Linked DNA regions of Ovis aries. The protein of the gene in region 2 purifies or fractionates together with the protein of the main gene of each other region. This does not show direct contact. Links are inferred from orthologs where the notes say so. Each region holds a gene or a part of one and is shown on either strand. Other genes may lie near its edges.

The links. Proteins that work in one complex are often made in the same cells at the same time.
Region 1: the proteins of MYH9 (region 2) and SPTAN1 fractionate together in Homo sapiens (co-fractionation; 3 studies listed by BioGRID and IntAct, with this or other methods). This does not show direct contact. The link is inferred for Ovis aries from reciprocal best matches to the Homo sapiens genes MYH9 and SPTAN1.

Annotation. Positions count from the first base shown.
Region 1 is NC_056056.1:7,773,852-7,779,874, forward strand, and holds part of SPTAN1 (spectrin alpha chain, non-erythrocytic 1), read right to left. Parts: intron 5,865-6,023; coding exon 5,787-5,864; intron 5,679-5,786; coding exon 5,523-5,678; intron 5,308-5,522; coding exon 5,103-5,307; intron 4,596-5,102; coding exon 4,414-4,595; intron 4,059-4,413; coding exon 3,815-4,058; intron 3,623-3,814; coding exon 3,500-3,622; intron 2,972-3,499; coding exon 2,754-2,971; intron 2,023-2,753; coding exon 1,930-2,022; intron 1,346-1,929; coding exon 1,211-1,345; intron 158-1,210; coding exon 9-157; intron 1-8. UniProt on the Homo sapiens protein: Fodrin, which seems to be involved in secretion, interacts with calmodulin in a calcium-dependent manner and is thus candidate for the calcium-dependent movement of the cytoskeleton at the membrane.
Region 2 is NC_056056.1:180,361,221-180,367,031, forward strand, and holds the end of MYH9 (myosin-9), read right to left. Parts: intron 5,239-5,811; coding exon 5,130-5,238; intron 5,026-5,129; coding exon 4,853-5,025; intron 3,694-4,852; coding exon 3,561-3,693; 3' UTR 2,129-3,560; downstream 1-2,128. UniProt on the Homo sapiens protein: Cellular myosin that appears to play a role in cytokinesis, cell shape, and specialized functions such as secretion and capping. Required for cortical actin clearance prior to oocyte exocytosis. Promotes cell motility in conjunction with S100A4.

The DNA of each region.
Region 1 (6,023 bases), about 170 Mb from region 2:
GCCCTTACTGGTTGTCAATCTGCTCCTGCCGCAGCGCGATGCTGCCCTGCTCTTCCAGGAGGTTCTCCCGGGAGGCCGACTGCGCTGGGTCCAGCTTCTTCACGTAGGCGGCCGGCACGAAGCCCTGCCGGTCGTTCACTTCCACTTTCCACCAGTCCTACAGGGAAAAGAGACTATCTCCATGGCAAATTCCTCCCCTGACGGAGGGAGAACCCAAGGAGGCCCGTGTACACACGCATGCACACATGAAGAAGAGCTCTAGTCACGGCATGAGGATCCCGTGACGGTGCCAAAGTCACCTGGTGTGAAGATGGGAATTTTGATCCCCTCGTGACCTGCCGCGTATAGGGAGGGTCATGAGTGAGGCAGCCATGACTTTACTGGAGCAGGAAGGCCACCTTCTCTTCGCACAGATGCTCCAGGACTGTGCTAACACGGCAGCCTCGAGCCATACTTCAGGAAATTAAATAAAACCTCAGATGCTCTGGGACCTCTGAAGCCCCTCATGGTCACCTGTGACTAGTGGCTTCTGTGGGGCCAACACAGACACATAGTCTGCCATCACCGTGGCTTCTACTGGCGAGGCTGCTCTGGAGTGAACCAGAGTCAGACCAGGCAGTTAGCTTAGGTTTAGAGTCAGCAGACCGACACTGGCCAGTGTTTCCTCAAAGTCCCACGACCAGGTGAGCTGAGTGGCTGGGAAGAGGAGGTGCCTAACACTTCTCCAGCCTACACTAAGACAGGGGGCAGGATCCTGGGGGGGCTCGTCAGATGATGGCCTCATTCCAAGGCCATAGCCAATCAGAATGCGTTAAGAAAGACTGATGAACCAGGCAGCACTGAACTTGGAGAAGATGAGGAGGCGGAGCCTACAGGGTGACGCTGAAGCCTGTTTTCAACCCTCTGCTGCGGCCCTACAGTCTAGAACCAACAGGTGCCAGTGACAGAGAAGCAGACTTCAGCTCAAAAGAGAAAAAAATTCCACTTGGAAGTGGTCCTTGAGAGTAAGGGTCACTACCCTAGCTCTCAGGTATTTACGGAGACAGGCTGGTCATCTCAATCACAGGCAAAACAGTAAACCCACGTGACATGGGAGACTGACCTGGAAACTCTAGTAACTTTAAGTTTTAAACCAGCCACATCCTGGAAAGACAAGCTCCCAAGACACCTAATATGTGGAAACCAACCCCCTGTCATCCTCTGTGCTTGCCTTGTTGGTGCTGTTGAGTAAGGTGAGAATGTCTCCTTTCTTCATGGTGACCTCTCGGGGACTCTTCTCCTGATAGTCATAGAGCGCCAAGACCAGCTCCTTCCCAGTCTCGTCATCCATGGGGGCCACTTGTTGCTAAAAATTCAAAGGAAGGGCAAACACAGTTATGGGATGTCTCCAGAGTGCCGTCTCAGCCACTGCAGATCCCAGCCTCAGCAGGAGACCCACATCCATCAAACATACACTGGTGACAGTTCTCCTCTGAAGCCACCAACAAGATCTGACTCAGGAAGCTCAGCTGTCTGGGACCTTTAAGGCCACAGGAAAGTCACCTACGGGGGCTTTCCTGGTGGGCCAGTGGTTAAGAATCTGCCTGCCAATGTAGGAGACACAGGTTTGATCTCTGGTCCAGGAAGATCCCACATGCCTTGGAAAACCTAAGCCTGTGCACTCAACTGTTGAGCCTGGGCACCCCAACTACTGAGCCCACACGCCCTAGAGCCTGTGCACCACAACGAAAAGTAGCCCCCGCTTTCTGCAACTAGAGAAAGCCCATGAAGCAATGAAGAACCAACACAGCTAAAAATACATAAATAAAAGAACGTCACCCAAGATCATGCCACCTGCTGTCAGCATCTGGGTCTTTTGGCCTCCCTGCTCCCTGGCCCCGACCCAACCCCTGGGATCTTGCAACTGCTGACATGAAAAGCCTCACTTACCCGGCACGACTGGGCCTGCTCTCGCAGGGCCTGGATGCTGCTGCCATAGGCGCTGAGATCCGACATCAATGCCTCGTGCTTCTTTAGCAGAGCCTGAAATCCAAGTCACACACAAAGCGACCCTGAGCAAGGAGCCAGAGCAGCCCCTCTGCCTCCCCAGCATGCCGTCTGCCTCTTAAATCTGTTTAGCTACCTGGTGACTTGATGACTCTCTCTCCCTTTATTTGATAAACACTTAGCGTGGAGAAAATATCATGTTTTCTATTATCTTTTCATCCATAATTATGCAACCCTTGAAACAGACGAGGAGTCATAAAGAACACTGTCACATGTACAGTGATCCACCACCCATCCTGAGAATTCAACACTCCTGCTAAGTGGCAGCTGGGCACATGCCGCCCTCCTCCAAGAACCCCCTTCCCACCACCCTCCGTGCTTCCTACTTCTCCAAATCCTATCAGGTCGGGTCAATACTCAGCTCAGGACGGTTTACGTGAAGACAGGCAAGAAAAGGCAGGCACGTGGCTACACCTAGATCTTTATGAATAGAATTTAAGAATTCCATTCAAAAAAGATGACTAAGAAAAAATTGTGCTTATGTACACATAGGTATACAGAAAAAATGAAGTAAGATCGGAGACATGGGCATGGCTAACAGTGAAAGGCCAAGGCTGCCTTCTCTCTTTTGTGAACATAAGAGAACTACCAGAGAAAAGTGGAAAGAGATGCTGAAACACCTTAAAAGCCATGAGACTGCACTCTGCACACGTGGTCATCCTCCTAACCAGCCCCAGCCCGAGCCCAGTACCCCCGGCATGCATCACCTCGGCAGAGTCCTCATCTTTGCCATAGTCGGTGCTGCCCACGATGGGCTCCTTCTCCCGCATCCAGGACTCGGCCTCGTTGGCATCAGCGAAGTACTGCTGGGCCTGCAGCGAGTCCTCCAGGTCCTGCCGTCGCTGGGAAGCTTTGGACTTCAGCGACTCCCACTTCTGGTTCAGTTCATGGAGCTTGGCCTTCACGTCCTCGGCAGCAAAATGGCCTGTAGGGCGGGCAGGGGAGGGAGGACAATGAGAAACATGGGGACAAACAAGGTCCTCTGAGCGCTCACAGCCTCTGTGACACTATGTCCAGGGAGCCAGGTCCCTTCATGTTCCTAGTTTTATATGAGGCCCAGGTTCCAACCCTTTAACAGATCTCCTCAGACCACGATGTCTATCTAGACTCTAAGCAGACAACCTTAGTTGGCATTAGTAATGTCATCATTAACAATAAAACCCACAGCCCCCTCTGACCCTCTGTCATGGAGACTCGTTGCTGGGCACTGTCTCAGGCTCCTCAGTATCTGACCTCATTCACTTAGTCTTCTCAACTGTGGGAGAAGTTGAGAAGTTGGCGGGGGGTGGGGGCGGGTGAGCTCAGGCTCAGAAAGGTTATGGACTAGTCAGGGTCACAGTCAGAAGATTGTAGGGGGGGCAGTCTTCAACCCCTAGCCCAGCCTGCCCTGCGACCATGCACTTGGCAGGTGCCACGACAAACGAGAACAAAGCCACCTCCTGACGACACTCACCCTCCTCTACCATGGCGTTCCCCTTCTGTGTGACTGCTTTGATGCGGGGCTCGTGGCCAGCAATTTCTGCTTGTAGCGCTTGGTGTTTCTTTAGCAGGTTCTGGACTCCAATTAAATCTTTGCCTGAAAGAGAAACCACTCCCAAGTCAAGAGAAAAGTCAACTCCATCACTCTCAGCTGTCCCCACAGTTTCACTTAAAAACCCAGTTCAACTGAAACCTGACTTTGCTCATTCGGACATAGGTCCCCCTCCTGGACCCGTGTAAGGGTAGGCCCTTTCCTAACTGGACTTCCGTCTGACAGAGGCAGGCTGACCTCTGTTGGTGGAGGCGGCAATAGGTTCTTTCTCCCGAATCCACGTCTCCTCATCCTCAACGTCACGGAAGAGCTGCTGCAACCGCAGGGAATCGGCCAGCTTCTGCTTCCGGGCAACCATGGGCTCCTTGAGTGCCTCGTAGCGAGCTACCAGGGCCTCCTGCTTCTTCTTGATGTTTTCAGCATCAAAGTGGCCCGCATCCTGGAACTGGCGGGCTTGGATAGTGATGCCATCGATGCGATCCTGGAGACGGGAAGGACAGAGTGTTGAGAGCCTGGCCTGAGGCCGGCCAAGTGCGTTCTGGACATCTCTCGGCTGACATTCTTGCCTCAGGCGTGGTTTACTCTCACACCAAGAAAATGCACATCGTCATTTCCCCACGCTCTGGAGTGCGCTTCCAGCCGCCCTTTCCCCATTTTGGGCTCCCAGGAAGCTCCAAGGGCAAGCAGACCAACCTGAACAGAAGCCAAGTGGTGCAGCCACGATTCTCTAGGGCATCGACACACTTCATCCCCCACCCCCGAACCGGTTGGCCTTGGCTGATCAGCCTCTCTCGCTCCCGTGCCCACAGCCCCACATCCGCGTCCAGGGCCTGCACCTGGTGAGCGGCCACGTCAGCCTCCAGCAGGGCATGCTTTTTCTGGAGGTTCTGGACGTTGGTGAGGTCTTTGCCGTAGTCATCCGAGGCCAGATGACCTTCCACTTCGTACAGCCACAGCTCGATGTCCTCAACATTGCGGTTAAACTGCTGCTGCTGGTTAGCCTCACGGAGCTTTATGCCTGGTCAAGGAGGCAAGGTTGAGTCTGTGAGTATCACCCTTCTGCCAGTGCTGCCCGTACACAGCAGCACCTCTCGAAGGATCACAACAGGGCAGGGTTTCAGTGACGCCTTCACGTCTATCACAATGTGAAGGAAAACTGCAAGCTCGGCTCTGCCTTCCAGATGCGGAACTAGAATGAGCCCCATGGGTTAAGTGCTGATGAATGGTTAGGTGCCCTCGGCTCACAGCTGACCTGTTCTAGTGACGAGGCCCCAGCCAACCAGGGCCACTGACCAAATCAGCCCCTCCTCTCTCAGGCTCCCCGACCAGCCAGTAAACAGTCACATCCGCCAACCCTGCACATCATTAGGCACCCACACAGCTGACTCCCTCAGGAAGTGAGCCCCAGTGCCCAGTCACCTGGAGCAGCTCACCTAGATAGCCCAAGTACCTAAACCAGGGAACCAGGGATGAGCATTTAACTCTCTAAACCTCCTACCACAACCCCGTGCATGCCTCCCCTCACCTTTCAGCTCCGTGGCCTCCAGCAGCTTCTTCCACAGACTGATAACTTCATTCATCCGAGTCGCCACCTCATCCTTGGCATAGTGGTCAACGTCGATCAGCTTCTGCCCAGCTTTCTCCAAGGCGTCGATGCGGCTCTGGTTTGCTGAGAGCTCGGCCTCAAAGGCCTGGTGCTTCTGCACTTTCCCTTGTAGGTTGGATGGGTCCTGCCAAGAAAGAGGTTCTCTCTCGAACCACTGGACAACAAGTTACGCTGCACTGCACTCACACATATCTTCACAGGGGACATATGAAACCGCCAGTTTACATTCAGTAGCGTGTTTTTGAAATTTCCAATCTCTTTCTTTAACTACATCTATCTGTAAGGGTGGTGTCTGGCTTACAGACCAATGGCTACATGACACTGCCAACAGGATCTTACTTTATAAGCTTCATCTGTGGCTGTTTTCATCTTCTCGTTGACCCAACTCTTGAGCTCATCAGAGTCACGGAAAAACTGCTGCAAGTGGAAGGAATCTGCAAGCTGGGCACGGCGGTACATGGCTCTCTCATGGAGGGCGTTGCGGCGGCTCAGCAGCTGGAAGGCAAGGGCCCCTGTGAGTCTCCACTCTCACCCCTAACTGACCTGCCTTGGGAGGGACACCCATGGATGGAAAGGAGGCTAGTGAGGAAGTTGCGCACTCACTGCGTCTCGCCGGGTGGCCACATCTTCCATCGCGTAGTGGTTGTTCTGAATCAGCTTGGTGGCAAACTCATCTAAGGCCTAGGAGGAAGAAGAGGGCTCATCACAGCTCGGCCCCTAGAGGGGAGTGCAGAACACAGCACAAAATGCTCTAGACCCCGTCAAGGACTTCACTCTGAGGTTTGCTACGACAACTTTTATCCATTAACTTCTGAGTTTTTACTTGACGTCCTCAGTCAG
Region 2 (5,811 bases):
GTGTGGTTTTCTTTCTTTTTTTTTTTTTTTTTTGGGTAGATTCCAGTCTTTTTTGTCAATAGTCGTTCAGCAGTTAGTCATGATTTTTGGTGTGCCCCTGAGGGGAGGTGAGTTCAAGGTTCATTCTACTTTACCAACTTGTCTCCCTTCCAGTGGTTCATCGATTTTAATTGTCCACATGCCCATCCTTTCCATTAGTAGTCAAGATTTAACTGATAAACTTCTAAAAACAGACTCTTCCAATACCAGAAATCACCAGTGTCACTGGCAAAGCCCACTGGGGTCCCCAGGAAAAATAAGATGGAATCTAGGTGATAAGGTCTACCCTCTTTTTTTGTGATTAGTGTAGTTTGACTTAGGTACAGAGGGCCCTGTGCAGGGGCCTTGCACGTAGCACATTGGATTAACATTCTCAGCACAGAACCACTGGGCCAGACACTTGCCAGCCATGTGCAGAAGCCGGCTTTTGTGTTCATAACCATAGTCTGGATGCAAGATTTGGAATTTTCTGGAAAAAATAAGCAATTGAGCAGAGTTAGGGATGAAGAGGTCTCTAATGCCAGCAATCAGAAACCACTGGGAAAGCTGATTGCTCAGTGGAGGCAAATGAAGAGGTGAGCACTTGCAGGGACCAGGGTGGATGGTCCACTTTAGGGGCCAGCAGTGAGGAGGGATGAGCAGGGGGAACAAGAGAGGCTTGATGAGGGGAGGCATTAGCATGCTTTAGGCTACACAGACACAGGTGGATGCCTGGAGAGGGAGCCAGGACCCCTCCCTTCCACAAGGGACTTTGGAATCTGCAGACCCTGGGCTCTCATGCTTGTGCATGGTGGGCGGTCAAGCAGCCGACTGCTCCCTTCCTCCTGATGTGCAGCGGCGGGCACCCCCCAGCACTTCCCAGGCACAAGGTGAACAGCCAATCCACAGGACCTCAAGGGGGAGAACTAATATTTGTGGGTCCTGTACTGAGTTAAATGGTGGCTCCCCAAATAGTATGTCCACGACCTAATCTCTGCAACTGTGTATTGACCTTAGGTGGAAACATGTCTCTGAAAATCCTTTGAGTGAAATATCTTGAGATCAACATTGATTACCTAAATCCAATAACTAGCATCCCTATAAGAGACACAGAGACAACAGAGAGTAGGTGGAGAAGGCCACAAAGAGACAGAGGCAGGATGGAGGGGTGCAGCCGCAGCCAAGGAACGCTGCAGGCACCACCAGCTGAGAGAGGCGGGGAAGGCCCCCAGAACTTCTATAGGAGTGGCCCCCGCTGACAGAAAGAAGGGCCCCAGACTCCAGTGCTGGCCCTCACCCACCTCTCCCACCACCTCCTGCCACTCCTTTCCCAGGGCCTGAAAGTGCACCTGCTCAGAGGCTGGACGGGTCAGCTGTTGGAGGGCCTGGCAAGCATCCAGTCTAGGAGCCTGCACCTCTCCTGAGCAACCAGGCTGGGCAAACAGTGACCTGGGTTGGTGGGGGAGAGGAGGCCTGCATTCAGATAGGCTGCTAGAGTCCACATCTTGAATCAAGTGCGAGCCCAATCCCTTCTCTAAGGAGAGCCTTTTTCTCCCTCCCCTCTCACCCACAACTGCAGGGACATCTGTCTTTACTGCCCTCACACTCCCAGTGCCTGGTGAGGGGCCTGGTTTCCACCCAGCCTTTGTTGAAAGAATGAACAAAAGCTGACAGTCCTTGGAAAGCCTCTGCCCCAGCACCCACAGGCTTAGGCACCAACTCCCTCATTCCTTCTTCTACAGCCCCTGGGACGAACCTCCAGAGGGCAGGCTTTGCCTTGTCTGATGACTAAGGAACCTCAAGAAGCTGGCGTCTCTAGCCCCTGAGCCAGCTCGGCGTCCAACACATAGTACATGCTCAGTAACTGAAAGGAATCAAGATTTATAAGACACTTGTAGCATCCTTGAATCTGGCCAGCCTACCTTTCTGCATGACCACTACCCCCTATTAAAGCCTGGCCCCAACCATGCTGCACTCCTGGAAGCTTCCAGAAATCACACAAAGGAGGTACCTGCTGCAGAAGCAAAGCACAGTCCCTTCCAGGGGAGCCCAGATACAGTGCCCTCTAGGCCACCTGCTCCCGTGCACAGACAGCCCCCAGACACGTGTCTCGTAGCACAAGGATCTCTTTATTGTGACGCTCAGTGGAAAACATCTGTAAACCAGCTCACTGTAGTGGTGACAGCTGCAACCATGCTAAGGCACTTTCATTATATAAAAAAAGGGCGGGGGTGGGAGTTCTGTCCACTCCTTTGTGACAGCAACTGGGACCTGAATTCAGAGCTTTTTAGGCATATGTAGCTTTAATATATCTTCATGATTTCTTGAGAGTTTGTTTCCTTAAAAAAAAAAAATGCCTTCTTTGCCATAAGTAAGTCTAAATGCAGCATATACAGAATAGTTAGGAATACAAGGAAATCCAGCCACCAGTGTAGACCAGTGCAGGACAAGCTGCTCTCTCCTAGACGTGCTTCTGAAGGAAAGGCAGTGATGAAGACTGGGAATTTCATCACTAATTACAGTGAGAGGGAGAAAAGACAACAACGTTTTCTGTTTCTTTTAAAAATGTCTGTGCAGACGGCAGCGTCTTGAGTTATACGGAGTCAACGGTGCTGATCAACTACCCTCGGGCCCCAGTCCTGGCCCTTCCCACTGCTCTGGCTGTCAGACTCGGGACAAGTCCATTAACCATTAAATATATTTGGTCCCCAAGAGTGTTGGGAGAGGCCACTGCTGGCCTTTCCAGCTTGGCCCCTAGGCCCTGCCTGCTCAGCCCAACAGCCCCGCTGCGGCAGGGATGGGCTGCCCTGGGCCAAGGAGGGGAAGGGGTCATCATTGCACTTGAGACATTTGAGAAGCAGGAAGGGGACAGTGGCGCTGCCCAGCGGGGTAGGGAGGAAGGCCCTCCCCTCCCAACCCCGGCATCCTGTGCCCTGCACAGAGGTGGACCCCCTGGGGCTGCTCATGTTGGACCACCCAGAGTCCACGGGAGCAGGGGGGCCGGTGGGGCAGAAGGTGTGAGGTCACCGAGTGTGATTGCCAACAGCAAAGGAGGGAGAGGGGACAGCTGGTGGCGGTGGCGGAGGCGGGGGGGGAGGTTACAACTCTTCCTGGGGCGTTGGGCTAGCGAAACTCCTTAGTCTAAAGAAAAATAGATTCATAGAAAACTCTCTTGCCCATCCCCGGAGGCCTGCTCCTGCCCTCCTCGCCTCACCGTCTTGTGCTCTGTGGCGAGAAGGCGGGAGACCCGGCTGGTCGCTCTGTCCCTGGGCCCGGGCCCAGGACCCTGACTCTTTGGTATCAGATTCGGGGTGGGGGTGGAGGGGAGCAAGGGGGCTGCAGCAGAGGAAGCCGAACGCCCTCAAGGAGGCCTGGGGGACAGGCGGGGTGGTGAGGGGGGGCCTGAGGTCCCCAGCCTGGGGGGACAAGGTGGGGTCACAGTCACAGCAGTCCCCAGAGGGAGGAGGGGGTGCTGTGGGGGCTGGGGAGGGGAGGCGGAGTCGCTGATGTCCGTCTCCAGGCAGCAGGAGAAGAAGAGCCAGTTACTCGGCAGCTCTGGCCTCGGCGGCTTTGGCCTCTGCCCCGTCAGCTTTGCCATCCATCTCATCATCCGAGCAGTCACTGGCACCTTTCCGGGCCATTCGGCGGGGCACAACGAACGGCAGGTCCCCACGCCTGGGGGCAGAGGTAGCGGTTAGCAAGGCTGGCAGGCGGCCATAGCACAGCTCATGTGTTTCAAAGCAACATCAGAGGAAGACTAGCTCCTGACATCCCACGGGGAGAAGCAATGGGGCGGGGGGCCTCAGGGGCAGGACAGGAGGGCTCACGATAAGGGGGTGACTGAAGCTTCCTGCTCTCACCCCCAAACACCAGCAAAAAATTGTCAGGTAATAGGGGCTGATTAAAAGGAGGCACAGTGGTAAAGAATCCGCCTGCCAATGCAGGAAATATGGGGGACATGGGTTCCATCCCTGGGTCGGGAAGATCCCCTGGAGAAGGAAATGGCAACCCACTCCAGTATTGTTGCCTGGAGAATCCCACAAAGGAGCCTGCTGGACTGCAGTCCATGGGGTCGCAAAGAATCAGGCACGACAGAGCGACTCAACAACAGAAGGAGGCCCAAGAGCAGCAGGAGCCACCTCTGCAAAACACCACCCTCTGGTCACACTTGGTACCAAACAGGTGAGATCATGAGACAGAGGCCGACAGTGCAGTGCACACAAACGGGCATCTCTTCCAGTCCCGGATAAGAAAACCAACAACATACACACTGACTAGACTGCTGCTTGTATGCTTGAAAAAAGAAAAAGGATCCCTGGGAAAAGGAGGTCAACAATGAGAATGTCGACAAAAAAGGCCCTCTGCCTCAACCATTTCACACTGCCTGATCAGGACACTCCTTTGAGAAATGCCAATCAGCCCTCTCCACCTGATCAGTGTTGGAAGATCGACCTGAGCTGTGCCAGAGACTGGCTGGGTGGCCTTGAGCAACTTCTAGTTCACAAAACCTGAAAACGTTCTCAGCGGGCTTAAGGGCCGTGACAGGAACAGACTTTTCAGGCAGGATGGGAATCAATCACCCAGAGAGATTATTCAAAAGGCTGGGCTACAGCCTAGGAGGCCGGAGAACCAGGAAGGACTCTCTGACAAGCACCCTTCTGGTGTCAGTAAGTGCCCTGCCCACTGACAGGGCTGAGAAAGGGACTGAGTTTACAACAGCCTCATGATGAAATTCTGCTTTTCAGGACAAAGGAACTTTTTGGAAGAGAAAGGGTCACGTGGCGGGGTGGGTGTGGGTGAGGGAGTGGGGTGGGGGGCGGTTGGCGGGGCTCACCTGAGCTTGTTCTTGAGGGAGCTGACCTCGCGGTTCATGGCATCCGCCGTCTCAGTGGCATCCTCCAGCTCGCGCTGCAGTTTCCGGCGGGAGGCATTGGCCCGCTGGGCCTCCTCCTCCGCCTCCTCCAGCTGCCGCTTGAGCTGCTTCAGGCGGGTGGACGCCTTGTCCGCCTGGAGGGACGCAAGGCCAGGGGCCCAGGTCAGGACTGCACGTGCCAGTGGCCCACCCCGCCCTCAGCTGCCTTGGGGCAGGGCCCTGCTCCGCCCCGGCTCACCTGGTCCTTGTACTGCTCAGCGTTCCTCCGCTCGTCATCCACCTGCAGCAGCACGTCCTTCAGCTTCTTCTCGGCCCGACGCACCTGCTTGCAGGCTGCCTGGCGCTCCCTGCGAGGCACAAACACAGTGGCTCAGGGGCACCCGCTCTTTCAGAGGGTCTGGTGGACAAACCCACAAACTGGGCCACCCACATCTGGGTCTCACTGGCCTGTCCCCTGTAGGGAGGCCTTGATCAATGCTCTTATGAAGGCATTAGGATTGGTCCCATTTCACAGATGAGGAAACTGAGGCTCAAGGAAGTGACACATCTCAGAGAGCACAGATAAAGCTAGAAAAAAAAAAAAACGACTGACGCCCATTAGACCCGGGTTCGATCCCTGGCTTGGGAAGGTCCCTTGGAGAAGGGAATAGCAACCCACTCCAATATTCGTGCCTGGAGAATCCCATGGACAGAAGAGCCTGGTGGGCTACAATCCATGGGGTCGCAAAGAGTCGGACATGACTGAGTGACTTTCACTTTTCACCCCTAAAGAAGTTTGTCTTGCTGAGCCCACAGATGGGCTGCCCAGGGAGTGGGAACTACCACCTCTCTCTGATTCAGCCCTGAGTCACCAGGCTCAACTTTAGAAGTGTGCCATGGGTTCCTCTTCAAACTCTAAAGCCCTAGCAAAAGGCCCCAGG